Lonchura striata: one gene and its partners. The protein of the gene in region 1 binds, or shares a complex with, the protein of each later gene. Links are inferred from orthologs where the notes say so. Each region holds a gene or a part of one and is shown in the gene's direction. Other genes may lie near its edges.

Region 1 (10,382 bases):
GATACAATGAAGTAAAATCTTTAATGCCATATTAAGGATGAAGGAGCTGTAATTTAAGTTCTGTTTCTAGTACTTAATTTTAAGAGTGCTCTATTTTTTGCGGGGGGGTTTATATTCTTGTGGGTATTTCCTAATTCTGTGCTATTGTATGGTTGTCTTAGGTAAGAAACTGGAAAATATTTGAAAGATAGGAAAGAGCGAAATTAATGCTTCCTTAGGGGAAAGTGGAGCCTCACAAAATGCTGCTGGAGGATGGGGAATCCCTGTTCACTGTGGAAAAGGTCTGGATCCTTGGCAGACCTGAGACTCCTATTACACTGATTAGAGCTTGCATTAATGTTCTGCTGTACTGGCCCCTGCAGTGGAGGTGGAATTGTCTCATCTCCCTTGTAGCAGCTTAATAAAACACACCTGAACAGAGCAGAGGAGGAGTTGGGCCTTTGGAGTTCCTCTATGTTCAAAACTTCATTGATATTTATTGTTACAAGTGAAATACACCAAACTGAATAATTAAGATAAAATATTGATAAGACTTGAAACACTGTTTTTGTCATACTATAAGGAAATAACTAATTTTGGAATTAATCTATGCAATACTAAGCAGTAATAAGGCAATAATTAAAGTATCTCACATTTCAGTTTTAGCCTATAGAACTTAATGCACATTTATGGCTTAGCAAGTATCCCTATTTATATGGAATATTAGATAGTAGGAGTTAGGTTTTTTTCATTCAAATTGATGTAACAGGACATGGCTGATGTTCTTCATCTGATTCATTTTCTGCAGAGAAGTCTTGTTGATAGCTTCTAAGGATCTAGGAAATAGTCTTGACTTGGTGAAAATAGAATCAGTGCTGCAATCAGCTGGAGAGACATGAACTGTGAGAATTACAGAACCCATCAGTGTGACTCATGCTGCAAAATGTAGGTTAAGGTGAACAGACTGAAGAAATGTTGAATATGTTTCTCATATATATATATATATAAATTATCTGTGTAACATTGTGTATCAAGAACTTAGAAGCTGAATGAAAGCAAGCCAGTTGACATGCTCAAATTTACCCTGTCTTTTGAAATAGAAGACATAAGCACTGAACATAGGATCACAGATGAGGAAGAAATAATAAATATTATAATATTAAGCAGGATAGCCAAAAATGACAATGTATAAGTTATGCACAATATGAATAAGAAAAAAAGCAGTATCTCTGCTGATGCACATTAAATTGTCATGTCTTTGCACTAGAAAGATACATGGAGAAAAATTATTGAAACCTAAATGCAGATCAGAAGATGGAGAGAGGAAGGGGAAAACAGAGAATACAGAATGATACTCTTGGTTTGTGCTGCTGTTCTCTTTGAGGCCTCTGAGTGACAGTGCCTGCTAAGGCACTCAGGTGCTTTCCAGCTTCCCTCTGGTGATGCTGGAGTGTTTTCCATCGGTGTCTCTCCTGACACACAGAGCCAGCTCTGGTCAGTAACTTGCCCGACTGGGTAAACACATTGCTTGCTTCTGTTCAGTGGAGAAAACCACATCACTTTTCAGATGTGAATTAACATACATTAAATGATAAACTAGAAAATATGTGGGGCCAGTAGTGTCTCTTTTTGTGGTATGCCATTGTAATTAGTATTCAATGCTTGAGGTTTTTGCCCCTGTTAAAGGAATGTACTCTTGCAAGGAAAAGGTGAATGAGAAAGCTAGGCTTTTTTTTTCCTTTCCCTACGCTATATTTGCTGTCAATAGCTACTCAAAATAACTATGTAAAACCACATCTTAGTCAGATGCATTATCCATCTCCTGTTTCTTCTGTCTCACTGGTATGGCTGGGATTTAGAGAAGAATTAACTGTCCTCTCAGTTACAGATGGGTCTGCATTATCACCCTGGTTTGATTAGTGCCTTTACATAGTTTTCCTTGTTGATTGTCCCTGTTTACTGTGCCTTGGCTCACATTTCAGGGCAGCCTCAGGTGCCAGGGTCTAGGCTGGTTTCAGATGGAACAGAACAGGTGCTTGAGGAATGGACCAAGTGTTCTCCAACAGGTAATGATTTTAACCTGAGCAAAACTGTCTGAAATGCACCTTGCATGAAGATTTAAATTCTCTGCACCAATTATTTTGCTGCATAAATCTTCTTATGTTAGCCTCTTGTACTTCTGAATGTAGCATATATAGATGTGTTGTGTCAGTGTCTTTGCAATACAGCAGTTGCAAATTTTCTTCTTTTCTTTATCAATATATTATGCCAGTCAAGTCTGAGTTCTCTCTTGTAATGTGCATGAGTTTAGACTGGCAAAGCAATCCCAGGATGGCAGCTGCATTAAAAACAACCCTAGCAGCACAACTGTGCTCTCAGAACTGTAATTTATTTGGCCTCTGTCAGGGAAAACAAAGGTACTGACATTTATGGTTTTACTTCTATAAGTGCAACTACACCTGGATTTTTGACAGCCAGAGATTACGCTCCTGATTCATGTCTGTGTGCTGCCAGCAATGTAGAGACGAGTCCAGGCTGAGGGATTGCAGCAGCAGCTTCTTAGCTGTAGTTCACACAAAGTGTGTACAACCAAGTGTGCTTTGTTACCACAGCTTTGAGTTACAAACTTCATGGTGTATGATGGCTCACAAGAGAAACTACCATGCAACAGCAGCTGGGGTAGCCAGAATGCACAATGTGCATACAGCCATGAGGCTGACTCAGATGATGTTTCTTATTTTAAGTTGTAAAGAACAGATAAGTACTGCCTATTTCAGCACAGTGTTCTGAACTATTTGGATGACAGGACCTACAGAAATCAAAGTTTGAAGACTACTATTCTGTCCCACATAGATATTATTTCTGTTTCTCTAATATCCCCCCTAGATAAATTGAGTGTATTTTAAGAATGCAGAATCTTCAGCCATAGGAATAGGTTTGTGCTATGTATGAAGAATAACTAAGGGAAACCTCAGTCACTGTAGGATAACACTAGCCCAGGTGCAACTGGCAATTGAACAGAATGTTCCTTCTGCATGGCTTGTACAGCCCAGTTTGTAATGTGAAGGTCACTTGGTTTTGGTCTTATTTTTTCTTGTTTTAACTTCCAGATTTCAATGCAAAGCTGTTACTTTTTATTTGACCACTTAGACATCATATCACACTTTAAGCAATATTGTCTTTAGAAAAATGTCTGCATTATTGGGAAAATTCTGCCAGCAGTCTGAATTTTGGGAGAACCATTTGACTGAAGTATTTCCAACAGGAAAATCAGAAGTCATATGTGATTCTGTAGACAACACAATTTAGATTATGTTGAATCTGTCAATGTCAAGAGCAAGATTAGTAATTGTGTGGTATCCTTGAGCCAAAGACTCTGTCTACTTTGATTAGTTCTTTTAGCAATCAACCACCTCTTTTGACATTCAAGAACTTACCTGAGATTGCTCATTGGGTCCTTTTGACATCTCTCCATGGCTGTGATGTGTGACAGATTAGATTGAGGACAGCAGATTGCAGCAAGAAGCAAAAGACAAAGATATGTAATGCAAGCAGATACCAGTTTACCAATGCCCCCAAAAAAAAAGTGAAAAGCTGCAGTGCAACTTATTTTACTGAAATAAAAGTAATGAAGGCTGAGCAAAACTTGTCGTGCAGAAGCTTTTGCTGTTGAAACAGCACAGTATGTGCTGCAGTTACTGACATAGGAAGAATATGAAAAAGCCACTGGCTCCACCTAATTTTCGATCCAATGAATGCAGCCTGTTAACTTTATTGGGAAGCTCATAGTTCTGTCTTTACAGGCCTGATGGCTGTATTTTGTGTGAACAGCAGTAGTTTCTGTACAGCCTTCAATATCTTGTATATGAAAATCTCCTTGTAATTAGGAACTGGTTTTTTGTAGATAACACTTCATGGCATTATGGTTAATCCTGATCGCACCATGCAGGTGGACCTGTACACTTCTAATTCAAAAACTGAAGATTTTTGTGCATGCTTGACAAGTCTTCCATCAGAAGTCCAGGTGATGAAAATTTTCAGGTGAATTTTGCACCTTATTAGAGCAGATGAGAGCAGATGAAGTTTAATTCTTGAAGGGGTTTAAAAATTTAACTACAATTTGAGCATTTTTTGGATGAAAACATTGTTTTGTTAATAGATTATTATCCTTTTGTTTATAAAATTAGGGGTCTATTTCCTTGTAGAGTCTGTGTCTCAAAAAATCAGCTGTTGCACCATTAGTTTAAGACATACTCTTACAATTCTCTGAGAACAGATGCACAATGGAAAAACTAAATCTGTTTTTTTCATTTTTTAAACACTGCAGGCATTTTGATTCTCCAACTCTATACAAAAATCTCTCTGTGTGCCACATCTGATCCTAACTGAAGCACTGCTGTTCACATACATATAAAAAATATAACCTCTTTTCTGAAGTATGGGATCTTACTGCAGTAGTTCATTTATATGTCACATAAATGGGGTGTCAGTGAGTCACAAAACTTGAATTTTGGTAGGTCCTTTGAGAGGGACAGACTTCTGTACCAGTGTTAGCAATTTGAGGTGACCTGACACAGCAAATACCAGCATTAACTCAAGCTCTTTACTTAATTGTGAGATCTTTTTCCTCAGCTTTGACAGTTGAAGTGTGATGTGAGTGGCTGTTTTGCAACCTGTGGGTGTTTATGAAATGCACATTCTGAAGTGCTTTGTTTTAGCATTAATAAAAGCAGTCATAATTTAAAAATCACTAAAATAATGGTTTGAGTGCATAAGCCTGTTAGGAGGAATTAAAAATTAGAGACTGCTTTTAGTGGAAACTGCATTCAGTTTTTGAGGGCAGCTTGCAATGATTTAAAGCAGTTTTGGTAACCTGATCTTTGTGTTGACATGGTACCATGGTGTTATGTCCAAATTATCACCCTATCATTAGAAGTGTTGGTGCAGCAGGACACAAAGATGTAAAGACCTAACAGCAGTCTTCCAAGTAAGTTTTTAAAGTTTTATTAAAACATTAGTTATCTTTCATAGTAGTATTTGGGGACCTCAAAAACATGAGATCAGTCAAATACTAGAAAAAGACTTTCATATCCTGAAGTCACACATGAAACAAGCACAAACATACTATTGGTGATGAAATCAGGATCCATTATCACAGTATTTTGTCTGATGTTGATTTCCAACTAGTGAACAACAAAAGAAATAACCCTATAAATAAGTATATCAATAAAAGCTCTATATTGCTCGCAAATGATAAAATAATAGAGCAAACCAGGACAGCAAATGTTAACACTTTCGAAGTAATTTTACATAAATTATGTAAGGTATTTTCAATAATTATTTAGTAATACTGTCTAAACACTGCAGTCAGATTTGGGACTTGTTCTGTCAACTGCTTGGTACACAGAGCAGCAGAAACGCTCTACTTTGATTTATCCTTTTGAGGTAGATCAGCCTTGTAGTGATATTGTAGTTTTGTTCCTTAAAGATACAAAACAGCGTTTTCAGGGAAAAGTGGCTTTTTTTGTACGGGGGAAAAGGCCCCAGCGGTGCCCGGGCCACACAAAGGACCCGCCCGCCCCGCCGCGGCCCGGGCCTGTGAGGGCGGGCGTCTCTCGCGTTCCTATTGGCGGAGCGCGGTGACAGGCACGGGAAGGAGCCAATGGCAGCCGGGATTTCAAATCGGTGACCGCGTTCGCTACGGACGCCATTGGCTCGGCGCGCGCGGGGTCCCGCCCGCGGGCCGCGGAGGGGCCCAGCGCAGGCGTTTAAAGATGGCGGCAGCGCGGAGTGCGGGACGGCGATCGTGAGGCGGCCGGACTCGCCCTCACCCGCAGCCCCGGCACAGGAGCGGCGGGGCCGCCGGGGATGGCCCAGGTGGGTGCGGGCCCCGCGGGGTGACGGGCGGGGCGGGCCCGCGCGGGCGCCAACCCCTCCGCCCCACAGGCCGCAGCGCCAGCGGGCCCGCCGCGCTCCCGCCGCCGGCCCGGAGCGGCCCCCGGGCGCGGAGCCCGGAGCAGCCGCTCCCCGAGCACCGACGTCCCCAGCGCTGGAAGGCGCCGCCCTGCCCGCCGGGCATTGCCGTGCGGCGCGTCCCCTGCGCCCGGCCTGAGCGGCCTCTGCTCAGAGCTGGTGTTTGGTTTTGTTGGGGATTTTTCTTGTGTGATTTTGTGTTTTGGGGGACTTTTTTGTCGTTCCCCGCCTACCCTGCTCGCCTCGCCGTGGGATTGCGTTGGGGGTTGTGAAGGGAAGGCAAGGCCGTGCCTGTGCCCGCGGCCCCGCCTGGCCGGGCTGATGCGGGGCCGTGCCTCGGGGGTTCCGCCGCCCGCAGCCCTTTGTACGGGGCCGGGAGCGCGGCTCGGCCCCGCAGCGGAGTTGGGAAGAAAAGGCACGACGTGTGTGCGGGCAAACGGGCACTCCTTTAGTTCTGGTGCACTGAAGGTAACGTGATGTCTGGTAATTCTCAGCATTCTTCCTAATGTGTTCTTTTTATTAATAGTAAATTATCTCCTTCAATCTCTGTAAGGTTAATGCTCCCAACTTTCTTCATTTTTTTTAAATTTTTTTTTAATCTTTTTTTGGTTGGAAATAGTTCCTTCTTTTGTACCTCCTTTCCTTAAGCTTTGGGTTTGTCTGCAAAGTTTGTTTGCCTGCTGAGACCTGAATACCCAGGCGTTGCGCGACCATAAACTGGAATTGGGTGAACACATTCAGTTTTCTTTATTCCGTTAGAGGTCTTGGAACTAGATCTTTTTTGTTTTGTGATTTGAGAGATTGTTCTGTTTGGGTAATTAAACTTGGGGGCTCCTATTTTTAATTCTGGATGAGGAGTTGGGTCGCTAGGCACCGCCTTCTGATTATCAAGGTTGTTTTGCTTCTTTAGAGAAAGAGAAGGGGTTTTGGTTCCTTATGTCTGTTGTTTTTCTTTTCAAGTAAGAAGCTTACATATAATGGGAAAGGAAGACTATATTTTCTGTTTTCTAGGCTCTGATTTTCGTCTTTTGTAAATCAATTTCTTGTCTTACATAATTAATCAAGCCATCTAAATCATGCCAGAACACTGCTCAAGCTCTAAAAGCAACTGTTGTTTTGCCGTTTCTGAGGATAGCTTTCCAAAATTATGTTCTCTGTTCGTTCTGAAATGGAATGAAGTGTTAGGAACTAGAGAAGTTACTGAGCCTTGTCTGTATTTGCACTGATAATATGATTGTTGGGTTCTGGCTCCATTTTCTTAACCATCCTTGGTTAACTGACTTGCACAAAGTGCTTGTTTCTTTCAGAATCTTTCTACACTACAGCTCATAATAAGGAGAACTGAATTCTTACATGTAGTATTATCTTAAAGCACATTTTCTTTTGGTATTTTCTGTTCTGGTTTAAAGAAAATAAATTCTGTCTCTTCAGGTTTTGTTTTGGATTTGTGGGTTTTCTTTTTAGCAGTGGTAATAAATAGGATTAACTTATTTCTAGAGTTGTATGTGTTGAAAAGACACATTAGGTATTCATAAAAAGAAGGTAGATGACTGAGAGTGGGAAATTAATTTGATATAGGTTAATGGATCAGCACCTGAGTTGCCATTTAGGGCTGGAGGATGAGGCGGAGGATTTGTATTTGGTTAGCAAATAAGGAGAGTTTCCTTTGAGCCACTCTTCATTTTGGGGTTCACTGAATGTGAAGTGAGCAGTCTCTGACACAGTTTCTTTTCAAAAGTGACTTTTTGAAGAGAGAATTTGTGGTATGCTGTTCCTTGCTGCAGCTACGTGTATTAGTAAAGAAAATATGTTCTTTATTAAATTCTTTTCTAGACTGCTGATCTGCTGTTACAGAAAGGAATTTTTCTTTGCGTTTGGGTGATGCTAAAATTTCCAAATTTTAAGATTCTGGGGTTCTTTTCTGTCTTGAAAAAGGATACCCTTTTTTCTTTGTGTTTTTTCTCCCTTTCCTTTTTTGTCTGATTGTGGGACTGGGCAGTGGTACTTACTAAGCAAAGTAGATTTGGTTTTTTCCTTTTGGCATTTAAAGGACATCTGTAAGACAATGAGGCTAAGATTACTCTGCTTTCTTTGGGACCTGTGCAGTTTGCTATATTACATTTATATGCTCCCCAGTATCTGCATTGTTTAGTTTACTTTGTGGCATGAAACTTTTTTAAACGATTAGCTAAAGTAAGAGTAAGGAGTTAAAATTGTGGAAATTCCATGTGCTTGTAATCTGCAGAACATGAGCTGTGCACTCACATTTTCAGTGTTTGTACTGCCTGCTGCAGCTGCCAGTGGTGTTTGTCTCTTCGGAAGGAATGAATCCTTATGGAAATAGTTAATGGAACTTCGTGGAGCCTTGGAGAATAAAATGTTATTTCAGGACAATTCCGTGAAGAATCACAAAAGGAAACTGACTTATGTTATGATGTAACTTGGTATGCTGAGCCTTTTTGTGTGTGGCTGTTATATTCCCTTTTCTAAGGCACATTTGGCTGTTTGTTACCTACAAGCTCATCTAACTCATCCTTTTGCCTTTTCTCCCTTCTGTCTCTTCAAATACCTGATAGCTCAGTGGTTTTGTTGCTTTGTTTTTGTTTTTTTTTTTTGGGGTTTTTTTTTTTTTGTTGTTGTTGTTTTTTTCTTTCCCAGCCCCTGATATAAAGGGCATATTGTAATGTCAGCTGGCAGGGAAGTAGATGGGAATTGGACTTGTGTTCCACTTGTTCTGCCTTGCTTTTTGTGGCTTTTAGGCAGGTATTGTAACCCACTGTAACTGTAGAGCTACTGTTACCTATACTCAAAAGAGAGAAAAAAACCCTTGCAACAGTGTTAGAATAGTAACAACAGACCTTTCTTTGGAAACCTCCAGGTGTCTGGTCATGATGGCACACCTGGCACCAGATTTCTGCTATTATAAGGTTAATTAATTAGGGTATCTAACAGGTACACCCAGGAGATTCAGTTGCCCTTGTAACCCATCCCTGGGTCCAAGGGGTCTCTGCCCACTTCTTATTATGTCTTATTGTAGGTCCCCTGCTTAGAATAAGACTAAACAATATACCAGGAATGTGTTTAGAAGGTCTTATTGCTCTAAAGTCTAAGTGGGAAAAGTACCAGAGTTAATTAAGGAGCTATATAACTCTATAGTAGTAGTCTACAGAGCTGCAAATATATGAAAAACATATAAAAAGCAAAAATCTTTTTGGCATTACTACCAGCCTGTTATTTTACCCTAGAGATGTGGCAGGTTCATGGCTAGAAATGGAAAAAGCTCATTTGAACCCATTTTGGTCTAGTACTTTTCCTGAGCCAGTGTGTGCTGAGGAGCAGAAAATCCCTGGCTGTCATTTGCTGTTCATCGTTCAGCTATTCATGGTTTCACAGCCAGCAAGAAAGGGAAGACAACAAGAATATAATTGTTACCAGTGCTTGAATAGAATAACAAGACATCTTTCCTGCAAAGAGCAGAGATGTTGTATCAGTGAACTGCCTGAGCTGGGCAGGTAAAGGTTAAGTATTATTTTGACATTGGTGGTGGTAAAACCCTTCAGCATAGGAGCAGGACATGTATCGGGGGTCTGGAAGTGGCATTGAGGATCATGTCGTAGCCTTGTCAAAACTAAGTCTTTGTCAGGATGAGGAAGCTCCTTGAACACAAGGGAAGGGTTTGCTCTTTCAAATTCTAGAATGCTGACTTCAGTATTCCATTTCTGTGTGAATTCTGCTTGCTCTTTTCAAGAGGCTTTAGATGACTCTTTAAGATGGAAAAATTAGATGACTTAGGCATTTAGTTTCCAGGAGTTACTGAACACATGCTGTGACTTTTGATTCTTTTGTTCAGAATTAAGACACTTAGGATTTACTGTGAAGAATGTAAAAATTTGTCATTCTTTTTTACTTTTTTAATCTGAAGATGAGGAAATTTATAGACAAATTTCTCTCTAGGGGTGTTCTCTACATTATACATTCCAGAACCTGTTGAAAGATGAAGGAATTGTTCATTGCTGAGGTCATTGTATTTAGGTCATCTTGTAGGATGGAATGGAATTAGATATATAGAATTGATTGTCTTACTGGTGAATGAACCATTTTTCAATCTGAGAATTAATGTGTTGGTATCAGAGAAGATGGGATTATTTTAGAGTTCTTACCAGTTTTTCTCCTTAGTAATTTTATAATGCATGTCAAACTCGGCATGTTGGATGTGTCACAATTCTGAGTAGGTTTAAAAAACGCTACACGCTTCAAAAAAACACCACAAAATATGAATTCCTCTGCTGCCCCAGCAAAATTTGCTTTGTTGCCATACTAGAGTTTGCTCTATATTATGCTTTCTTCCAGCTTCCAGGTAGGTAACTGCTGTATTTTGCTGAATTTTAATTGATCCCATTACAGCTTCTGATTCCCAGCCTTGTGCCTTT
Region 2 (10,313 bases), on another chromosome or scaffold:
CATCCATCTTTTGTCATCAAAACTTTTAGGAAATTTGTATTTATGAGGATTCTTTCCCTTTCTTCTTTGATGGTCTTGGTAGGCCTAGAACCTGAAGAAAATGTACCCAAATGTCTTCAAAAGGAAGTCTGAAATGCTGTTTGCATGCCTGCTAAAGCCATCAGTGAAAGAGCTATTCAACCATTGTGCATTATTCCTATATACTGGCTAAATTATTAAATGCAACAGAAAGCACTAGCTTTTTTAAAAAAATCATTTAGGTTCCCTTTAGGCTTCAGATTCAGAATCATAGAGCATTAAATGTTTTATTTAAGGTGGTAAAACAAAGCACTTCTCTGCTGTCTTCTGTTAAACTTGCTTCAAAATATTTATTTTGCTATGCTCACAAGAGCCATGATTTGCAAATATCCCCTAAAGCTGCACAAAATCACAACACTGTTAATATGGTGAATACAAAATTATTATGGACTGCATCCTGCAGAATGGTGAGGGGCTCTAATTTGAACTTGAATCACAGAATAATTAAGATTCAAAGAGACAACTGGAAGTCTCTAGTCAATCATCTGATCAATGCAGAACTGACTTCAAAGCTAGATGAGGCTGCTCAGGTGAATTGTCCTTTATCAAACGATGGAGAATTCACTACCTGAGTGCCTGTTTCAGTACTTACCTAAATTAACTTCAAAAAACAACAACAACAGCAACAATAAAAACTCCAAACAAACAAAAAAACCCACCCCACACTAGAAAAACAGTCATGGCTGATACCAATTAACAATTTTACTAGTTAGAACAAAGATTAAATTGATACAAGTATAACTGCATTAGGTTCTAAGGAAATTATAAACATAAATTAAATGTTCATCTTTATCCAAGAAAACAAAACAATTCCAATGAAAATCCATAGAGATGGCTTTTATATTACTAATATATGTCAGCAGACAATTCACCTGATCGTTGTTGTTGATAAATCTTTCCCAATTAGAAAACTGTGTTTCCCTTCCGAGATCTGCTGAGCCCAGTGTGGGTGAAGCCACACGACTTGAGAAATATGGCCAGCATAAACAGCAGGCATAATCCAGTTTTCAATACTTAATTCACTGTAATCAGTAGAGAAAGACACAAGATAAATATAAATGGTCAAGAACACCACAAACATCTTCCACAACTTGAAGGCCCCCATGCAAATAATCTAAAAGTAGTACTCCATGTAAGGGTAAAGAAAGAAAGAGAGGGAAATCTTTATTCCTAAGACAAACCAATAAGGTCTGTAGTAGATGTAGAGTGGAATTGGCTTCACTCTTAGCATGGCACTTTGATTATAAACTCCTTAGGGGTGGACTTGGCAGTGTTAGGTTAATGGTTGGACTCAATAACCTTAGAGGCCTTTTCAACATCAGTGACTCTGTGATTCTATGCCCTTTATCTCTTGATACATCAGACAGAGGAGAGTGCAAGGAACATCATCAACATTGTTGCAAATAACTTCAAACTGACCTCATGAGAGTGTTTTATTGTAAACTTCTCCAAGTGTATTTTAAATGTCATCCCAGTAATTAGAGTGAGTCAATCCACATCCACAGGATTAGCATCTTTCCTCATAATCAAGACCCTATTTATTTTAGGTGTATGATGCCAACTGTATCCTGGCCTGCAGCAAAAGAAGTGTGATGAGCAGGTCACAGGAGGGAATTCTGCCCCCCTGCTCCGCTCTTGTGAAACCACACACCTGGAGTGCTGCATCCAGCCCTGGGCTCCCCACATAACAATTACATGGACCTGTTCAAGCAGGTCCAGAGAAGGCCACAAAGATGATCATAGGGCTGGAATACCTTTCCTATGAGGACAGGTTGAGAGAGTTGGGGTTGTTCTCTGCACAGAACCTTATAGTACCTTCCAATACCTTAAAAGGGACTACAAGAAAGCTGGAGAGGGACTTCTTAAAAGGGTATGCAGTGATAGGACAAGGGCTTAAACTGAGTGGGTGTTTAGATTAGATATTAGGAAGAAATTCTTCATGGTGAGTGTGGTGAGATACACCACGTGGGCTGTCCAAGCAGTTGTAGGTGACCCATAGTCAGAAGTGTTCAAGGTCAAGTGGGATGGAGACTTGAGCAACCTGGTCTAGTGGCAAGTGCCCCTGCCCATGGAAGGGGAGTTGGAACTAGATGATCTTTAAAGTTCCTTCCAACCCAAAGCATTCAATGATTTTGTGATAGAGTCCACAAAACCTTTTAGTCACTCAATAAAGAGAACAAAATATTGACTATGGCTAAGGTGATTCAAGTACACCAAATGCATCAGCTTGTAATTACAGCTTTTCAGACAAAGCATCCAGAGTGCTTTCCTGTTACCCAGAAGAAACATTTGGCTTAATACCATCATACACTATTGAGTCAATACACAAAGCAACGTCATGCATCTTAAATTGCTTGATACGCAATGTAACTTTTGCCATTAAAAAATAAAGTTTCAGCAAAAGTGAAAAGACAGAAGATGCAACTTGAATGTGACTTATATCACTTTTGTTCATCCCTCCTAAGCAGTCATAGCAATAATCACTGTGAATCAAAGGCAGCAAGAATTAGACTTAAAGTCTACTCTGATGCAGTACCCAGGACTTGCCTAAAAAGAGCTTCTTTGTCAAATACTGTGTCTGCAGGCATATTCACAGGAATGAGAAGGTCTGGATGGGAATCAAGATGAACAAAACTGATGTTACTGGCAGGAAGATGCTTTGAACCAATGGCACGATAGATGAAAGGCAGCACCTAAAGCAACATGAATAAAAACATTTTAATGATAGTCAGTGAGCTGAAAAATGCAACAGCTTTAGCAGCAAAACCACCAGTACCACTTTTATTCCTTTAGAATTTTATTAGAGGGAGGATGAGACAGAAAACAATACAGAGGGAAAATAACTCCAGTGGCAAGACAACTCGTGAACAGTAATCATTATAAGCCCAAGTGCTCCAGATGAGAAACTGCTGAAAAGTCACAGCCTTACACCCTTTTTCCTTCTTTATAGGAAGTCTTGTCTGCAGTAGCTCTTCTCACTAGCCATTCAACTCTATTCCTAGATGTTTGAGGGGTTTTTTTTCCATTTACACCGAAGACTCAGGAATGCCTTTCCTCTTCTGCAGATCATTGGCCTTGTACTTCTTTTCCCATGCTATAAAGCTTTCTCACCATGCACTGGTGCTATGGAGATAAAAACAGTTTGCTCCTTATGTTTTATAAGTTAAATGATATAGACTGAAAACTGACGCCACCATGATTTAAACTTCAGCTGATCATTAAACCTATTCCTCTTGGAGAATTAATTCCTAATCCTTCCATTACTGCTTGCAATAGAGACTATCTTTCTTACCTGTCCAACTTTATTCTCTGCTGAAGTTCTTCACTCAGATAGGTGAAAAACAGGAGATGAAGCAACTCACCAATTTACAGGAATAGCAAACCACTGAACTGCAATAATATGGGGTGGTAAAAATGAGAAAACTGATGGCTGTTTTCTCTTGGAGCTCACAGAGGCTCTTCCACAGTTAGAGAGAATCAACTGCCTTGGCTATCAGAGCAAATCCAACAAGGATTGTGAATGACAGCACTATTATACAGGGAATGTGAAGACTGTAAGAAGCAACAAAAAATATATGTGACCTCTGCATTACAAAAGCAACTGAGCTACTTTTTTGGCATAAAACTGATTAAGATGATAAACCCTGCATACTGCATAGGCATAACCGTAAAACATATGTATATTATTGCAACAATAGATAAAACAAGATTAAAACCAACATGGGTTTCCTGTTGCATGGCTTTTACTTTTTTGTAACAAAGAAGCAAGTTGGCCTACTAAATAACATACAGTATTTTCAATTAAAATTGAAGCTTCACCTCAGGTAAGTGCAACTACTGGTTGCAAGAGACAGGAAAGACTAACCTCTCTAACCTTGCAAATTCTCCTGATTTGGACTAAGAACAAAATTTCCTTCATGACAGCTGTTATTATTAATCAGTGCATGATGCAGCTACTGACAACTTGCTCTGGAGGAACATCACTATCAGCAAGGCTGATATCAAAACTTCTGTGAAGTTCTTCCACTTCGGGACAAAAAGCCATTATGTTTTATGCAAGATAGACCAATTAATCCACACTCCTGTGCTGAAAATGTTTTAAATTAAATATATAGTATTAATATAACTTTAAGCTGACTAAAACCAGAAATATAGAGACTAAAGTAAAGAAGGATCATTAAGAGGTATTATCTCAGAATTCCTACCACACTGACACTCTAAGTCCTTGGCTACTTAGAGCTGTAAAAATCAGCTGTCACAGCATCCTGTATTCAGCGAGTCTTTACAAAAATGAACGGTATTAAACTACTAACAAATTTGTAACATTATTGTCTTTAAAACACTTTACTACACTAACATTTTCTCTTTGCAAATAACCAAGTAAAGAATCTGTTATTTTAGGATTAAAACCTCAGTTTATGCTATTATAAAAAACCCCATGAGAAACCAGAAACAGCAATTCTAAAGCAATTCCTTCTTCACTCCCTTTTTCAATGACTCCACAAAAAAAAAGGCAAAGCTCCAGATTTTTAACATTCCTCATCAAGTGGGAGTCAATCTACTAGATGGGATAGGATTATATTTACTTATACTCTGCTGACATGTCATACACTGGGTAGGGTTGAGTTTCCAAGCACCCCACTAATAGCCAGCAAATTAAAACAGCAGTGTAATGTAGGTATTATCTCCTTTAAACCACAGCAATTGGTGTGGTTCAATTACAAAAGAAGAAAAAGCAGTCAGCAATAATTGCTTTTAAAAATGCCAAAATGCGATCATGGCAATAAGTCAATCGGGAAGGAAAATCGGGCCACCTGGGCGCTGAAGTTCATTGATGTTTCAGGGCGGAAGGGAAGGCGGCTTTGGGGTTTGTGTGCGGCTGCGGAGGGGAGGGCCGCTCCCCGGGAAGCGCCCGGAGAAGCCGCACACGTACGGGAAAGCGTCTCCCGGGAGGCCGCCGGTGACCGCACCGGGCACCTCTCTTCGCTTCCTCCTGCCCCTCTGAGCATCCGCGCCGCGGAGAAACACCAGCACACACGCAGGCAGGAACAAAGGAAACCCTCCCCATGGCAGTCCCCATCCCCCGGCAGCCCAGCGCGGGGCACTCACGTCCTGGTGGTCCTCCACCACCCAGACGGGCAGGGCCGGGTACCGCCGCCGGGAGGCCCCGCGGGGCCGGGCGGCATCGCCGAGCCGCGGCTCCGCTCCGCTCATGCCGCCGCTCCCCTCGGGCGGGCGGCGCTTCCGCCCGCAGCGCCTCCCATCGCTTTCCTGTTCCGGAGCCGGGCGCTGCGGGCGGCGCTGGGCTCGGCGGCGGCGAGGGCGCCAGGTGGGCTCGGCGTGCCGGGCGGGCTCGGCGTGCCGGGCTGCCCGCGGGGCGGCGGCGGGGCCGCCTCGGGGCGCTCCGCGCTGCTCGTGGAGCTCCGCAGGGGTCGCGGGGTCGGGAGCGCGGCGGCTCCGCGGGGCTGGCGGGGCCGGGCTGGCGCGGGCAGCGGGGCCCGGCAGGGGCGGCTCGGCGGCTCCGTGCCCCCGGGCCGGCGGGAGGCGCCGGTGGGGCGAGGCCGGTGGTACTGGATGGGTCAGGTCGGAAGGGACCACAGTGGGTTGCCTGGTCCAGTCTTCCTGCTCCTGCAGGGTCATCCCAGAGCACATGGCACAGGATTGCGTCCGGACAGTTCCTGGGTATCTCCAGTGAGGGACACGCCGCAGCCTCTCTGGAATCCGTTCCCGCACAGTTAAAGAAGTTCTTCCTCATGTTCCGGTGGAACTTCCTGTGCATCGGCTTCTGTCCGTTCACTCTCGTGCCTGTTGCACGGCACTAGAAGAGCCTGAATCCAGCCTTTTTGATACCCTCTCTTAGGTACTTACAGGCATTGATGATGTCCCCTCTCAGTGCTCTCTTCTCGATGTGTCAGTGCCCTGTTGCTCTCAGCAGTGCATCTGCAGGGAGAGATGAGTTTATTCAGTGTTTTTTAGGGGACCAGTGCTGCTTTAGAATGCAATGGCTCCTATTGGTGCAATAAAATTCCTCTTTAGGTGACAGGGGAAGGGGAGTTTGCTCTTTTTTGTGTTTTTGAAGTTTAATGTGACTTGCGTTTGCAGCAGAGGGAGCTTTAAAATAGTTTGGGCATGTAAAATAGTTCCGTGTCTTTTTGAATCTTTTTTTCCAATTGTGATTCTGGGCTTGCTGAAGGACTAAAATTAAAGTAATAGATCAAGAGCAGTTCTCTGGCATTGGGAAGGTCTGTGAGCTGATAAACAAGACTGTTTTTTTGAATGCTGTGACATGTTAGAAAGAAACGCACCTAAAGATAAGGCACTGTGGTACAGCCTGTTTAAATAACATGTGTATGGGAGCATTAGCAAAGTCTAAAACAGTCTTCTGTTACAAGCCTGAGTTGTGTAAGAGCACAGCAGGAGAACCAAAGCAAAGTTAATTCAGCATCTGATGGATTATAGTCAGTAATATCAAAAGGGTATGCTATTGCCAGACAAAATGGATGTTGACTTTTTTTTTTCTCCCCTGGTTGTGACTTTTTTTTTTTTTTTTTTTTTTGAGAGCCCTTAGAATATTAGAGGGTACTGAGCAGGTGCAGGCTGACTGGAAGGAACACGTGGCTTTATACCATCATGGCTGCTATCTCCTCATAGTGTGGGAATCACACTCACATTGGCACTTGATTGTTCTGGAGAGGGAATACTACCACCAATTCCAGTGGCTTCCACTAAGCACTGCATGTGTAAGGAGGGTCCTCTTGATTCCTCATCTTTGCTATCCGTCCTTTGCCCCTGTGTTTCGTTTCCTTTCTCCCTCCAGTTCACCAGAAGCTGTCTGCTTTCTCTCAGCAAGTGCTGCAACTTTTACTACAGTGTCACCGGAATGTGGCTGAGAGCAGTGCTCTGAGCAGTCCAGGTTGGCCATGTTGCACTATAGCAGGTGGGAGAATATTCTGTGCATGTGTATTCTTCAGCATCAGCAAAGCCTCAGAGAAAGGGAGGCTTTGTTTCTTTTTTCTGGTGATCTTTCCAATTGTGTGTGTCTCCCCTTTCTTTCTCACTTCCCCTTACAGAAAACAGGATTTGACTTCTGGAGGTGCTTAGATCATTTTTTTCACCTCTCCTTCCGTTCCAGCCATAAATTTTCTTAAGTGTTTTTTCTCCTTTTTTCAGGTTTTGAAACTTACCATTGCAATTAAAAAATCAATTTAAACTTTAATGAAGCACAGTGCTTTCATTTATAAATGTTAATGCCTTAAATACATGCCTTGTTTTGAGCAACACTTAAACCTACTTTAAGCAGTGATGGTTTCTCAAGGGTAACAGGGTCAAGAAGGCAGTTGAGGGATTTATTTGGAATCATTTATTTCAGTGAAAATTAAGGAATAGCACAGTCTGCATGATTTTTTTTTTCATAACCTGCAAGATGTGTAACCTGTTTTTCCACAAAAATATACGTACCTCACTTAAAAGAGTTTGAAGGGTCTGTTGAATTCAGTCTTTAGTACACTGGGGACTCAATAGCAAGCTAGTATTTAATTTAAAGTTGACATGATTTGTTTGGCCAGGAGGCATCCAAAGATTTGTTAGTCAAGTCATTCTGCCCAAAATTTAGAATTGTGTTCTAGAGAGAACTTCTTACACAACTTTGGATAACCACTGCAGTTATAATAATGAGTGATTTCTTTGGTGTGGGGTATCCAAAGGTTTTATATCAAAGTGTCAAAGTCCTAGTGGAGGTGCTTGTATCCTTGACCTGCCATCATTACAATAATTTGTTGAAATTACATTGCCCTAACTCGTAAAGCATGATCCAGCTTGCGTTCTGGCTTGAAGACAGTAAGTGCTTTCATGGATTAGAGGCTTGAAGGAATCTAAAGGGGCATAAATGGCCTGCACTAAATGTCTGAGGAGCACAAAGCTCCCAGTGAAAGTGGATATCATTTATTGCTTCTGTTAAAGGAAACTGCAGTGTCAGCACTTCAGGAGTAGCTCCTGCAGATGCATTGAAGACATCTTACAAAAACTGTGTGACACTGCATTTTTATTTTCCTCAATAAAGGTGAGCCATGTCTTTCCATTCTGGGCGAGGATGTCCCCGTGGCCAGGGGGGACCAGGAGCAAGGACTTCAACACAGACCTACCGCCCTCAGAACCTCCGGCAGCTCCACCCACAGCAGCCCTCCGTGCAGTACCAGTATGAGCAGCAAACTGCCCCTCCAACAACCTACTCCAACCCTCCAGCCACCGGTTACATGCCTCCCAGGCCAGACTTTGTGCCCTATCCTCCTCCAGTGCCCCCTTCCACACAAAATCCCATCAGCCAGTGTCCCATGAGGCCACCATTTCCAAACCACCAGATGAGGCAGAGCTTCCCAGTGCCTCCATGTTTCCCACCCACTCCTCCACCAGTGCCAAACCCTAGCAACACTCCCGTGCCAGGAGCACCTGCTGGACAAAGCACCTTTCCTTACATGATGCCTCCCCCCACGGTACCACACCCTCCCCCGCCGCCAGTCATGCCGCAGCAAGTCAGCTACCAGCCCGTGTACTCGGCAGGCTACTCGCAGCAGTCGTTCCCGCCGCCCAGCTTCAGCAGCTACCAGCACAGCTCCGGCTCCTTCCCGAGCAGCGCTGCCGGCAGCAGCGCCAGCAGCAGCCACTTCAGGCACACGGGGCAGTACCAGGGAGAGAAGTCCCAAAGCGACCGGCGCTCCCCTGACAGGAGCAAGCACTACGATGAGCACCGGCACCGCGAGCACGGGCACATTCACGGCGACAGGCATCGCTCCGCCAACCACGGGGATCGTCGGGATCGGGGCCGCAGTCCGGATAGGAGGAGGCAGGAAAGCAGTCGGCACCGGACGGATTATGAGAGAGGAAGGATATCGCCTCATCACAGAAGTTATGAGCGAAACAGGTAACAGTTACCTGCCTGCAGGGGGATAGATGTCATCATGGCCCATAATGTGTGTTTGCATCAATGTTCTTCCCTTACCCTTGTTTGTCCCTCTAGCTTGGGAAGTAGCCAGTAATCAGGTCTCATGGAAAAAAATACTGTTTAGACACCTTTCAGGTGCACTGCTTTGCCTCACAGTTGTGAGCTGGCAGACTTGTTGCTCTTGTCCATGGAAATAGTTTTTCAAACAACAGTTTCTTTGCATCCCACTGAGTGGATTGTTGAGTAGTGCTCAACATATTTACCTTAGAAATGAATGCACACGTGGCAGGAAAATAGAGTTGTCACTGTAAGACTATAGAAAGTTGAGTCTTACAATTAAGCCCTAGCACTTCAAATTTCAAGATTTGGGTGCCGGGTGTTGCTTTCTTTCAGTAAACCTTGGATTTACAGGGAATACTGACTTGGTGAAGTTTATAGTCTGATAGGGGCCCATAGCTAATATATCGGTTTCTTTGCCCCACGTTGGGCTCCTCTCTCGGGGTTCCCCTGTCAGGGGGAAAACCCTTCTGGAGCTGTTCTGTGTCAGGAAAAGGAGATGCACAGGACTTTTTTGATCTTCAGCTTCTTGTTTATTGTTACCTTATCAAAAGTTTTGCACGCCATCTATACCAGACTCTGCACGCTGGAAAAGCACCGCAAAAATGGCCAACAATCTCTTGTTACAAGGTTTTTTAAGACTAAACTGTCCAATTAAGAAATGACACTTAGATTATTTTACCTTTTAACCAATAACTGATCCTTTGAAGCCCGCAATGAGGACTCCTGCCCGATTATGAGATATCATCCAAACCCATGAAGAAGAAGGCGAAGAAGAACAAACTGCCTCCACCCTAAAACCTCCATCTTGTTCCAATTTACAACATAGTAAAAGTCCCAAAACCTAAATTTCTCACCCAAGTGAGGTGCCATACTAATCTCTATAATCTGTTTCACACTTTCTGGTTTCTAGTCTGTCTTGAAGTCTTGGAAGCTTTCTCCATGAATGAGGGTCAAAGTCAGTGCTTCTCTGTGAGTCAGGTCCCCTCAGAGCAGACAGAGAAATATTTCCTGTGCCCTGGGTTCCCACACTAACTTGCAGTAAGGTGTTTTTGCGAAGAGCTTTTGTTCAGGGTGAAGACCTCAGCAAGCCAACCTCAAGAGAGGCCCGAGGTGAAAATGAAGGTGGGTCAGTTGTAGGCTTCACTGATGTCATTCAGATGTCATTCAGTGTGTGTATTACTTTTGGGATTTATCATAAAATGTCTGTCCCTCTCATGGACACAAATAGCTTGGAAAT
Region 3 (10,579 bases), on another chromosome or scaffold:
AAATTATAGTGCAGTATAAAGGCATAATTAGAGCTTCTTTCACTTCTTGATAAAGGATGATTTTATGTATTCTCTTCTGTTTATTCTAAATCTAAGCAGAACAACATAAATTTAGTGGAAGCTAAAACAATATACATTAAAGCATATTACTAAAATGAAATTTAGAAGTTTAGAAATGCAAAACCCAGCACTACAGGAAAAGCAAAGGACTACAGTTACCTCTCATTCCCAATTAGCAACAACAGTACACCAGATGTTTGCAAGTTTCTCTACAGCATCAACTTTATAGTGCTTTCCCTTGCAATCAGTAAGCCACTGCCTTTTATCTTCAATGTTTTGATTCTGACCATACTGGAAAAATCTCATACATGCAATGGTCATCTAATAGCACAAGTCTCCAAGCAAAAGCAAAATTTAAAGTGACTCCAAATAGAGGTGATGAGCCCTGGCTATTTGAAACAATGCCATAACCTCAAACTGAGGTCTGTTAAGGCTTTCGGCTCAAAGACACACTCCACACAAATATCCCTGCAAGACACAATCTCTGGTCACTTTGAACTCTTCATTAGAGAAAATGAGGTGGTTACAACAGTGACAGCAGACTAAAACGGGATGATTGAACACAGAGATTTAGATGTATAATGTATACCACTAGGCAAGAAGAAATGCCTGCTACTCTGTAAATTAGCCCTATATAACCATAACTTTCAGCTAAGTATATTAGTTCCAAGATGCTTTTCAGCTTCAGAGGAAATTCTTATTAGGGTAGGGACACAGATTTGTAAAACACCTCCTGCAATTGCTTTAATGAGAAGCAGCCTAAACTACAAAGAGAAGCAGTAAATACTCCATAATTTCATTCTCTGCCAAAGGCACCCTTACACCTCCTTTGAAGTTCCAGTGGAAGTTAAACTCTCCCCAGAGCAAGAAACACTACACATGACCTGTCGTAAAAGGCTGTTATTCCATGAACAGTACAATATCCAGACCCACAAATGATTGGATAACTCAGCAAGAGTCACCAATCTGCAGACTGATCATATCCCTCCATGTGCAATATCATGCCTATAGTAGCTTTGCATTTCTATGCCTGCCTTGTGTCATGCTGCTCTGAAGCTCTTCTATCAATCTCATCTTAAAAACTCTAAAAAGAAGCCTCAGTATATAATAACACACCATGACTAAGTTATCTTGAATGAGGCATTCTGGGTTTGGTTCTTACCCTCCAAAATGTCTTCATAAAGTGCATGTACTCCTTCTGGCACAATGACAGCCAAGGCAGTTCCACACAGGAGGCCAGCACCCAGAACAGTCACCAACTTCAATCTCTCCTGCAATTAAGTACAAAACAAGTATAATCTTTAAGAAAGAAAAAACTTTCTTTACTCTCCCTTATTAACAGATGTTGGGGAAGGGGGTTACTCGTTACATAAATATTGAGAATTTTCAACTAAACCTTAACAGCAATATATAAACCTAATGTTTTTATAGTAAAGAATAATAGTTTTATTCATATTTTTGGAATCATTTCTATAACAAAAACCAAGTTTTTCAGAGTTATCTTCCTAGTTATATTCTAGTCTGGGGCAAAAGGCTGAGATATATCCTCCTCCCAAATGAATTACATTCTGTTTCACCAAGAAATTCACCAATTCACTTCCTTTTGACTATGCTGACAGGCTGAAGTCAAAGCCACATACTAAAAGCCAATTGTTATGATATAATAGAGTCTAAAATATAACAATTAGCAGAGGCCATTGCTCATAATTTCTATAAGAACCCCCATCATACAACATATAGCAACCACAGGAGTTTAGATACTCCTAAGAACTGTGCAGCACATGTTCAGTGGCAGAATCACCATCATCTTCTATGTTTAGTGAGAAGTCTGAGCACCACCAAAACACTAATGATAACTACTGAGGACCTAGAGAGAGAGGGCAGCATTTGAATAGCAGGAAATCACTTGTTGCATATCATTTTTATGCCATCACTCTCCTTCATCCACTATAACCACACAAACAGTTCAGTGTCAATGAAATGTGCAACACTTGCACAGAAGCAGGAGGCATTAGGAGATGCACAACCAGCTTCCTGAAAGCAAGCCAAATATGACCATAAGGGAACAACTGCAGCATTACTGGGGAAAACTCCAACAGTCATATGCAAGAGATGAAAACAAGTGTAAAGCTCCCACAAACATGCACTGTATACTTGGACATAGAATAATTACACTTGGCAAATTGGCATACAATGGCAATCTACACGAGAAGATAAATTTTCAACATTTGCTGTTCAAGTAATTCTGCAAAAATATAGTAACATACAAGGAAAAAAACATTATTTTTATCTGCAACACTATAGTATTTTTTGCATACACACACACAGAGTAAAGTGTCAGAAGTAATACTGATTAATTACAACTGCAAATACATGGCATAGCTTGCCTTCACTCAGGCACCTGTGAATTTTAAAGATCCATTAAAAGAATACAGACTAACAAGTTAATTCAAAGTAAGTCTCCATCTCATTTTCAGTACAAAATAGTTGCTTGTAGTGAATACAGAAATTTAGTAAGAACAACCTACATATATAGGTAGAAGGAATACACCTTTATACAAGAAATCAAACCATTTCTGTTAAATACACTTGCATGTTAAAAAACAAGAGCAACACAGTAAGCAGTGCTAAAACTCTACAGGAAAAATTTCAAATTAGCAAACCGCTTCACCATTCAGTATTTTTTTAAGTCTGTAGGGCACTGAAACTTTTACTTGGACCTATCAAAAACTCACACCTACTTTCAGGAGGAAGTGACCCCAGTTCCTGCCTCATGTTATACCACCAAAACATTTCAACTGCTAAAACTTCAATTTAAATTTTTTTTTTTATTTAGACTACAGTTTAAGTGACAGCCTCAGAATTGGAAGAGTGCTGTCTCCAGCCCAAAATTAGACCAATAGAGCCCTGTATATTAGGATTAAAGTGAAAGGGTACCTCTGCACACAGAACTAAGGCACAGCTCTCTTCAGTTGGCACCTTTCATCACTCATGTTTAGTCATACCTGGCTTTCCCAGAGTTTTATACTCTCACCAATATCCTAATCTAATTGAAATAATAGAACACAGCATGAGATCAGAACATAAATAATAAATTCCATGGCAAAAAGGAATCTGAAGGAATGTATTAACACTATTAACACATTAGTGTATTAACACTAATGAATAATTTTATTGTTCTGTAGTATCTGGGGTATACCATGCACAGCATTCACTTTTGTTTTCAACTCAATCATTACAAATGGCCAGTGGGAAGAGGTATTTTTACTCACTTTGGCTACCTGCAAAACTTTTTGCAAACTATAGAAAGGACCGTCCAAACAGTCATTTCAGTTTGAAATTGTCTTTATTGCAGATTCCTAACCAATAATTTTAAACAAAACAATTATAACTTCTAATTAGACACTTCCAGGATTAGCTGGGATTTGTACATCATGTGCAGAGATATTCTGCTCTTTTTAAACCAGCACTGCATGCAAACCCTTAAAAATATCTAAATCAAGTGTAAAACCAACTCTAGAATCTCTGAGAGCTTAAGATAGTAATAAACTTGACTGCACATTGCATAGTGGTGGTTCAATACCACACACACAAAAGGCTAATTAAGTACATGATTACTGCTTAGGCAGTTTTGGATCCACAACAGATCTGTATTCCTGCAACTCCTGGAAGCCTTGAAAAGTTTAGGAGACCACTGAATGAACCACACTGCATCAACTACACAAAGTAAACATCCAGACAGATCAAGAACCTTAACTTCAAACAACACTGAATATAAATTAAGAGTTAACAGGTGACTATCAAGCACATACATGACGAAATGTAAAATTAAATTTAAAAAGAGATAATATTAGCACACAAGGCAGTGCTCTCAGCAAATGTGCAAGAAAACCTTTTGTGGGCTTCAGGCAGAAATGAGTTTTAAAGAGCAAGACAGTGGGAGCAACAACACTAAAGACACATAAAGGAAGGTCCACCAAAGCATCAGATGAAGCACTGGCAAAACAGAACTCTGCTGATGTTCATGTGAACATGCCTGAATAGAATGTTAGGTTTCAACTCATTTAGCTGAGCTGTACTTATCCTAAAACAAACAGCCTTTTCTTCCAAGCTGCTCAAGGTCTACTGCTCCCAAAGCCTCCAAGTAATGATGGGACCAAAGGACAGGTGCGAGCAGCTCTCTGATTTAATGGAAGACAAAGGCAAGACAAGGGAAGACAAATTTCTACTCCAGCACCCTGCTTCCCAAAAGTAACACTACTTCCAAGAGAAATGGGAACTCCTCATGAGAGTGCTCTTAGTACCATAGTACAACTAAACTCTCACTATGCCATGCCTCTATAAAATAACCATCATTTAGAAAGAAAAAAACCCCTCGGGTACCAGAGGATATTAGGAATCCTACAGAGGCTGTGACAACCATGCTCACCTCAACAACTATTTCTTAGAAGCACACAAAGATGTTTAACCAGGAACTCCTGTACTGTTTGGCAACTTACCCAATCTTTGAAAGTTTCCCTCTTCTTTAAGTACCTTATTTATCCAAGATATTTTTCTGAAAGAATGCCTTGAATTACATGGGGCAGTAACTCTATAGTAATCAAAGAGCTAAGATTTAACTTTCAACAGTGAAAGCTGTGAGCTAAAATGTGAATCAAAGTTTTTCTGACAATATTCTTGGAATTGTTTTAGAAGCCTTAATTTGAGTAGCCCACAGGCACATAAGAGATAATCACTGACTTCAGCCATTTCTTACACAAGCTTCTAAGAATAGCCATGCTTATTCATGTCGTTACACTACGTGCTGAGAATTCACTTCACCTGTAGCAGAGACCCGACTCAAATCTAGCAAGTTTAAATGGCCACTGTGAAACAAGCATAATTTTACACAGTAGTTTTGAATGAAAATTAATACTGCACTCATAACTTTTAAAGATAAAGCTTCACCCTTAGCAGCGTTGCCATATTGCAAGGGGACGGCACCAACTCCTACTGGGAGATCTCTCTGGTTTCTCCCTTAGCAACCAGCGCAGTTTGGCGGAGTTGTCTTACCTCGGAAAAATTAACCGCCAAGGGGATAATTCCTGCCACATAGCAGGCAACCAGCATGGCCAGGGACAGCAGGCAGATGGAGGGGAAGTCATCCATTTCGCCGCTTTCTGTCCGGTCCCTTGAAGTGAAATCCAACAGCAACTTTTCCACCTCCCAGCACGCCTTAACCCGTGCAGCCACGGAGCTCCCGGGAGAGGCTTTGGGCCATGTCTCTGCGCCCGGCGGCAGCGGCCGGCTCGGCCCGCAGCCGGGGTGCGCGGCCGGGCGGGAGCGGCTTGGCCAGCGGCCGGCGGGCCCGGCCCTCACCTGGGCGGGGGAACTTGCACCCGCACCGTGCTGCGCGCAGGGCAGGCGGGAGGGAGGGCTGGGGGACAGCGAGCCCGCAGGCGGCTCCTCGCGGCGGGGCAGCCCCAGGCGGGGCCGAGGGGACCGTGCGGGACCGGCGCTGCCAGCCCGTTCCCGCGGCCGCTGCCCGGCGGCCAAGTGGCACTCGGCGCTTCCCCTTCCGGGCCGCCCCGCCCCGCCCCGCGCGCTGCCCGCCTCCAAGATGGCGGGCGGCGCCTCGGCCCGCGAGGCGCCGCGGGCGGCTCCCCCACCAAAGATGGCGGCGGCCGCGCCCCGCCCCCGCCAGCCTGGCCGCGGCCCCGCGGGCGCGTGCGCGCGCGGCGCTCTGGCGCGAGCGGCTCTATGGTGGCGGCCGTTGGCGCGGCGGCGCTTCCGGCGGGCGCGAGGGCCTGTGGGGGATCGCCGCGCGCCACTTCTGCCGGCGGTGCTGAGGGAGCGGAGCCGCCATGGTGAGAGCGGGACGGGCCCGCCGCGTTCCGCCAGCGCCGCGCCCGCCGGGGCGGCCTTCCCTTCCCTCCTCTCCCTGTTCCCCGGGTCACTGCGGGCGGGAGGGCCGCGGCCGCTGGTGCGGGCCCGGGCGGGCGGCTGCACGTTTTGGCGGGGCAGGGCCGGACGGGGCGGGAGCACAAAGGCGGCGGTGGCGCTCGGGCAGCGGGGCGCTGGAGGCTCCTGCCCCTCTCCCCCAGAGCCTCGGCCCCTCTTGGGGCGCTGCTGGGATCCCAACGCTTTCCTGCGAGTGTCGCCCGTCGGACGAGCCGGCCTTAAATGGCTGATCTGCGATTTCCATGCTGCTTTCCCTGCTCCTCCCCTCTGCTCGAAGGAGGGAAGGGCGGGAGCTGCATTTATGGGCACTGGGAATGGCACGCTGAAGCTCAAAGGCCTCCCTATTAACGTGGTTTGTTGCGTTCATCTAATGAATTAAGATGAGCTGAAGCAAGTGATTGCTGTGCAGTGGGAGGACAGCCTCTTGTCGGTTTGCAGCGAAGTTTCATATCTGCCTGGTACTTGCTCCAGTGCAGTTGACTTCGGCCATGATGTGCAGCTGCAAGCCCTGTCCCTGTTGGCCAAAATGAAAGGTGGGCCTTAGGCCACTTTTTCTGCTTGGCATTTAGGTGTGTGCAGTATGCGACTGGTTGGTATTTGCATTACTGCACATCTTACCCTTATAATATGTGTATATCTTCCACTTTTATTGTTTCAGGGCGCTTTTTTTTCCACTTTATTGTCAAATACACTACAGTTGGTGGAAGCCTCTTTGGGCGGCAGATGCTGTGTAGCTTTAAGTCCTGCTGGTTTGGCTCTTGGCACTGCTTTAACCAGTTTTACAGGGTTCTGCTCTCAGTAGCAGGAGCAATTTCTCAAGTGCTCTCCAGAAGTTCAAAATTGGTATAATATAAACCATGTGATTCCTCATTCTGTGTCCTGCTTAAAAGCAGCGAGTAAACTGTGCTTTTAAGGAAAATGCAAAGAAATTCAACATTATGTATCATCATAGTAACGGTCCATATTGGGCTTCTCCAGACGACCTGGTGCTAATGCAGAAAGGTTTGTGGATCTTCCCTTGTTTTGGTTCTGTCACCTAGGCTCACAGGGCAGGTAATAGGAGACTTCCCTAAGGCTTCTGAGCTTGTCATTAATTTGTACCTACGTGGTAGGACAGGACCAGCAATTTTATCAAATCCAACAAATTTTCCTTTAAAGTAAAACAATGTCAAGTTCCCAAAGAAATGTTTGAAAAGCATTAATTCTACAATACACGTGATCCAGTGGTATTAATTTACATATTTTTCTGAGCCAGTATCTGATAATGGATATTGTATAGTGTCTGAAGTGATAAATGGCTTAAAGTCAGAAGTCTGAATGACTTCTGCTGTGAAGTTCTGAAGGAACTGGCTTACGTGTCTGGCTCACTGATGTTTCTATAATCTGATTATTTGGGTAATTTCAGAATTTATACATTCATTTAGCACTCCTCAGTGACCATCTAACTAAAATGATAGTGCTGGAAAAATTATTTTATGGTAATCTTTGCCAGTCATTTGGACTCCCTGCTAAGACATGCCTGTTCCAAGTACTGTGCACTTAGGAACAGCCAGATACCAACCCACCTTGGGGAATTCCCTTCAAGTCAGTCATCCTCTGGCATACATGAAAGTGGATTTAAATTATCTCCTCTCCTTTGTATGGTTTTTGTTGTTACAGTGTGCAGCTCAGAATTCCCCTTTTTTCCATTACTGATTAGATAAAGCCTCGCTCCTTCTTTTTCTCTGCATAACATTTTCCTGAATTTCTCAGAATCTGCTACTGCTGTGTTGAGACAAAGAACTGAAAACTGTATTCCAAGGATGGGAACACTGTCAGTTATGGGATAAGAATTTGTCCTGTTGTTTGGGTTTTTTCCTGTAAATCCTAACATTTGTCATTTCTCTTTTCTGTCACTGCTTTTCATGAGCACCGAATTGGTATCTTTACTGATTTCCAAAGTATGGGTCAGGATTTTTCTGTCAGCTGCTGATTAATCTAAGACAGATGATATCTGCAGATGCCTTTGTGTTGTGTGCTCACCTCACATATTACCGCTGAAAATGTTGGATCCAACTAGCAGCACTGGAAACGGCCATTTGCAGTATGCTTGCAAACTTTCTGTGGTATGCAACCTGTTAATGAGATCACAGATTGTGTACACTTCAAAAATCTTGCTTTTTTGCTCAAATTACTTGCTGCAGCCAAGTAAAAATGTTATGGAAATAATGGAAGCCACAGAGTGTACAATCATCTAAGCCTTTCCCGCAGAAGAACAAGCTTATGGACTCCAACATTTGGAACAGTTTTCTGTGCCATAATTACTGTTTAAGTAAACTCATTGAAGTGGGAAAAACCAGTACATCTGTTTTGCAAGAAATAATCTTGAGTGCTAAGTACAGATTTATTGTATCACTTCCCTTGAAGTTAAATTGATAACTTAAAACAGCTAATTCTGTTAAAATCTTTCATGTGAACATGACAATGTTGTTAAGTTGGGTCCCCTCTTTGCTCTTTAATTGGGGCATTGGAAATTTTACTAACAGCTTGCATTTGGAATTAAATAAGTAAATGCAGTAATGCCACAGCTCTTATACATTGACTTTATTGCTTTGCTTGTCTGTCTAAATAAAAACTGTTCCTGTGGTATTTTTTTTTTCAACACAATAGCTGTTTACTGGTGATTTTACACATTTTAAAGTTCCATAAGGATTGATAGGATCTGTTGAAAACAAAACTAACACAGCTTACATATATAGTAAATGCTATGTGGAAAATGTCTGTGTCCTCGATTGCTAGTCTAGTGTTTCACTATTGTGCTTCATTTTACTCCTTCTTTCATATAAATAACTTGATTCAAACCAAAATCATTCAAAGTGTGCAAGTAACCTGTATTTTTGTGTTTGTTTTGTTTCCCAGTCTCACACAATTCTACTTGTCCAGCCTACCAAGAGGCCAGAAGGCAGAACATATGCTGATTATGAATCAGTGAATGAGTGCATGGAAGGTAGGTGGATGCAGACATGGAAGTTAAAAACTATTGTTAAAATCCTCTTTTTGACATATTCACAAACTTAATGAGAAAATAAGCTGTTTTTCAAAAGTAATTCACAAAAACCCTCATGCTTTTAGCTTATTAATGTTCTAGCAAACTAAAAACTAGTTATTATTTGTTTCTAAAACTTCCTTTTTCTATTAAATGTCTGGTTTTGATTTAACTAGATGAAACCACATCCAGTTTGGGAGAGTAGATAATATTCTTTCTGGGCTCATGCAGCAGACCTGTTTCAATGCATTTGATTGCAGGATCAGCAGTTAATTCTCAGTATTCTTTTCTTAGCACTGTAAGGCAAAGTTTGCTGCTGGAAATAATATATTAAATAAAGGATTGTGTGCAACTGATGCATAACATGCAGTCTCATGGCACATGTGCCAGAGTAAAGATCCTGCAAAACTTTGATACGCATAATGAGCGTGGAAAGAAGATTGAAATATTAGAGCTGTCATTCACTTAACATTAGTCTTGCAGGAGGTTTTGTGAGGCAAACAAAAGTATAACAAAGACCACGTAAAGTCTCTGCTCATTTTAGTACTACATTCTTCTCAAATGTATCTGAATTTAGTGGACTAGTTTAAATAAATAAAAGTGCTTTAAATGTATATACACATTTGTGCTGTCATTCTTGCCGCAATACCTTGTTTGACTCTTGGATCAAGAAGGATCATTCTTAAGAGTTCTTCTGTTTCTGAGGTGTTTGTGTAGTAGGAATATATGTTCTAATTGTTGTCTTAAAATTATTAGAAATAGTTCCAGATGTCTGTTGGAGCTTACTGCATGAAAAGTTACATATTTGACAGCACTAAAACTTTTCTTTCCATGCATCTTACCTGGATTTATAGTACTATGTTTCAATGCAAATTGCTAGGAACAAAAGTATTTCAGCTCTAGAAATTTTGATTGTTTTTATGGTGGTAATTTCTAAACTTTTATTTGTGGATCAAGAGCTGAAACAGTTTCAGCTCATAGAGTCTTTAAATATTTCATGGTTAATCTTGTTTCTCTGTAGGAGTCTGTAAAATGTATGAAGAGCATCTGAAGAGAATGAATCCCAACAGTCCATCCATTACATATGATATCAGCCAATTGTTTGACTTCATTGATGACTTGGCAGACCTCAGCTGTCTTGTGTAAGTTCCGTTGTACAAATCCATTTCAGTGACTTAGGAAAGTCAGAAGTCTTCCCTCTAAACTCTTCTGTGTGAGTTTAACATAGTGCTGTTTTGTGTGGTTTTTAGCAGTAACTGTAGTGCAGCAGTATTGCAGCTAGCAAGTTGCCCAGTCCAGTTAAGAGTATAGATATAAGGTACCTCTAAAAGAAGGCTTAGAAACTAATGGTTACTCTTGGATTTTATTTACATTGAAACTGACTGAAATCCAGCAGTTAAATACAGCTGACTATTTTATTACTACTAGAATCTGTTGAAATTTCCCTTTGTGCTGTTGGTCCAGTTCCTCAGGAGGCAGAATGGCTATAGAATTTTTTTCAGCTGAGAGCAGTACTTGTGGTAGGGTAAAAGGCTACAGAAGTGCATTGCAGCC

The links.
Region 2: the proteins of DGCR8 (region 1) and DROSHA are in contact, whole or in part, in a crystal structure (PDB 5B16), measured with the Homo sapiens proteins. The link is inferred for Lonchura striata from reciprocal best matches to the Homo sapiens genes DGCR8 and DROSHA. Residues at the interface, in NP_073557.3 of Homo sapiens: Asn728, Ile731, Leu732, Lys734, Leu735, Gln736, Glu738, Met739, Lys740, Leu742, Ala743, Arg746, Arg750; in NP_001369437.1 of Homo sapiens: Leu984, Leu987, Phe988, Thr998, Tyr999, Thr1001, Ala1002, Ile1003, Gln1005, His1008, Phe1069, Asp1073, Leu1074, Glu1076, Val1077, Trp1078, Asn1080, Pro1082.
Region 3: the proteins of DGCR8 (region 1) and ERH are in contact, whole or in part, in a crystal structure (PDB 7CNC), measured with the Homo sapiens proteins. The link is inferred for Lonchura striata from reciprocal best matches to the Homo sapiens genes DGCR8 and ERH. Residues at the interface, in NP_073557.3 of Homo sapiens: Lys107, Phe108, Ser109, Pro110, Asp111, Leu112, Leu114, Leu115; in NP_004441.1 of Homo sapiens: Val8, Pro10, Thr11, Thr18, Tyr19, Ala20, Glu27, Lys34, Met35, His39, Arg42, Met43, Phe60, Leu64.

Annotation. Positions count from the first base shown.
Region 1 is NC_134620.1:8,229,205-8,239,586, forward strand, and holds the start of DGCR8 (microprocessor complex subunit DGCR8), read left to right. Parts: upstream 1-5,715; 5' UTR 5,716-5,856; intron 5,857-10,382.
Region 2 is NC_134603.1:97,750,870-97,761,182, forward strand, and holds the start of DROSHA (ribonuclease 3), read left to right. Parts: upstream 1-5,356; 5' UTR 5,357-5,407; intron 5,408-5,712; exon of another isoform or gene 5,713-5,938; intron 5,939-6,637; exon of another isoform or gene 6,638-6,818; intron 6,819-6,825; exon of another isoform or gene 6,826-7,015; intron 7,016-7,046; exon of another isoform or gene 7,047-8,137; 5' UTR 8,138-8,144; coding exon 8,145-8,995; intron 8,996-10,313. Other genes in the region: C1H5orf22 (UPF0489 protein C5orf22 homolog), read right to left, coding at 951-1,100, 2,626-2,771, 5,188-5,292. UniProt on the Homo sapiens protein: Ribonuclease III double-stranded (ds) RNA-specific endoribonuclease that is involved in the initial step of microRNA (miRNA) biogenesis.
Region 3 is NC_134608.1:33,809,582-33,820,160, reverse strand, and holds the start of ERH (enhancer of rudimentary homolog), read left to right. Parts: upstream 1-5,796; 5' UTR 5,797-5,903; coding exon 5,904-5,906; intron 5,907-8,898; coding exon 8,899-8,986; intron 8,987-10,046; coding exon 10,047-10,167; intron 10,168-10,579. Other genes in the region: SLC39A9 (zinc transporter ZIP9), read right to left, coding at 1,223-1,331, 5,113-5,208. UniProt on the Homo sapiens protein: May have a role in the cell cycle.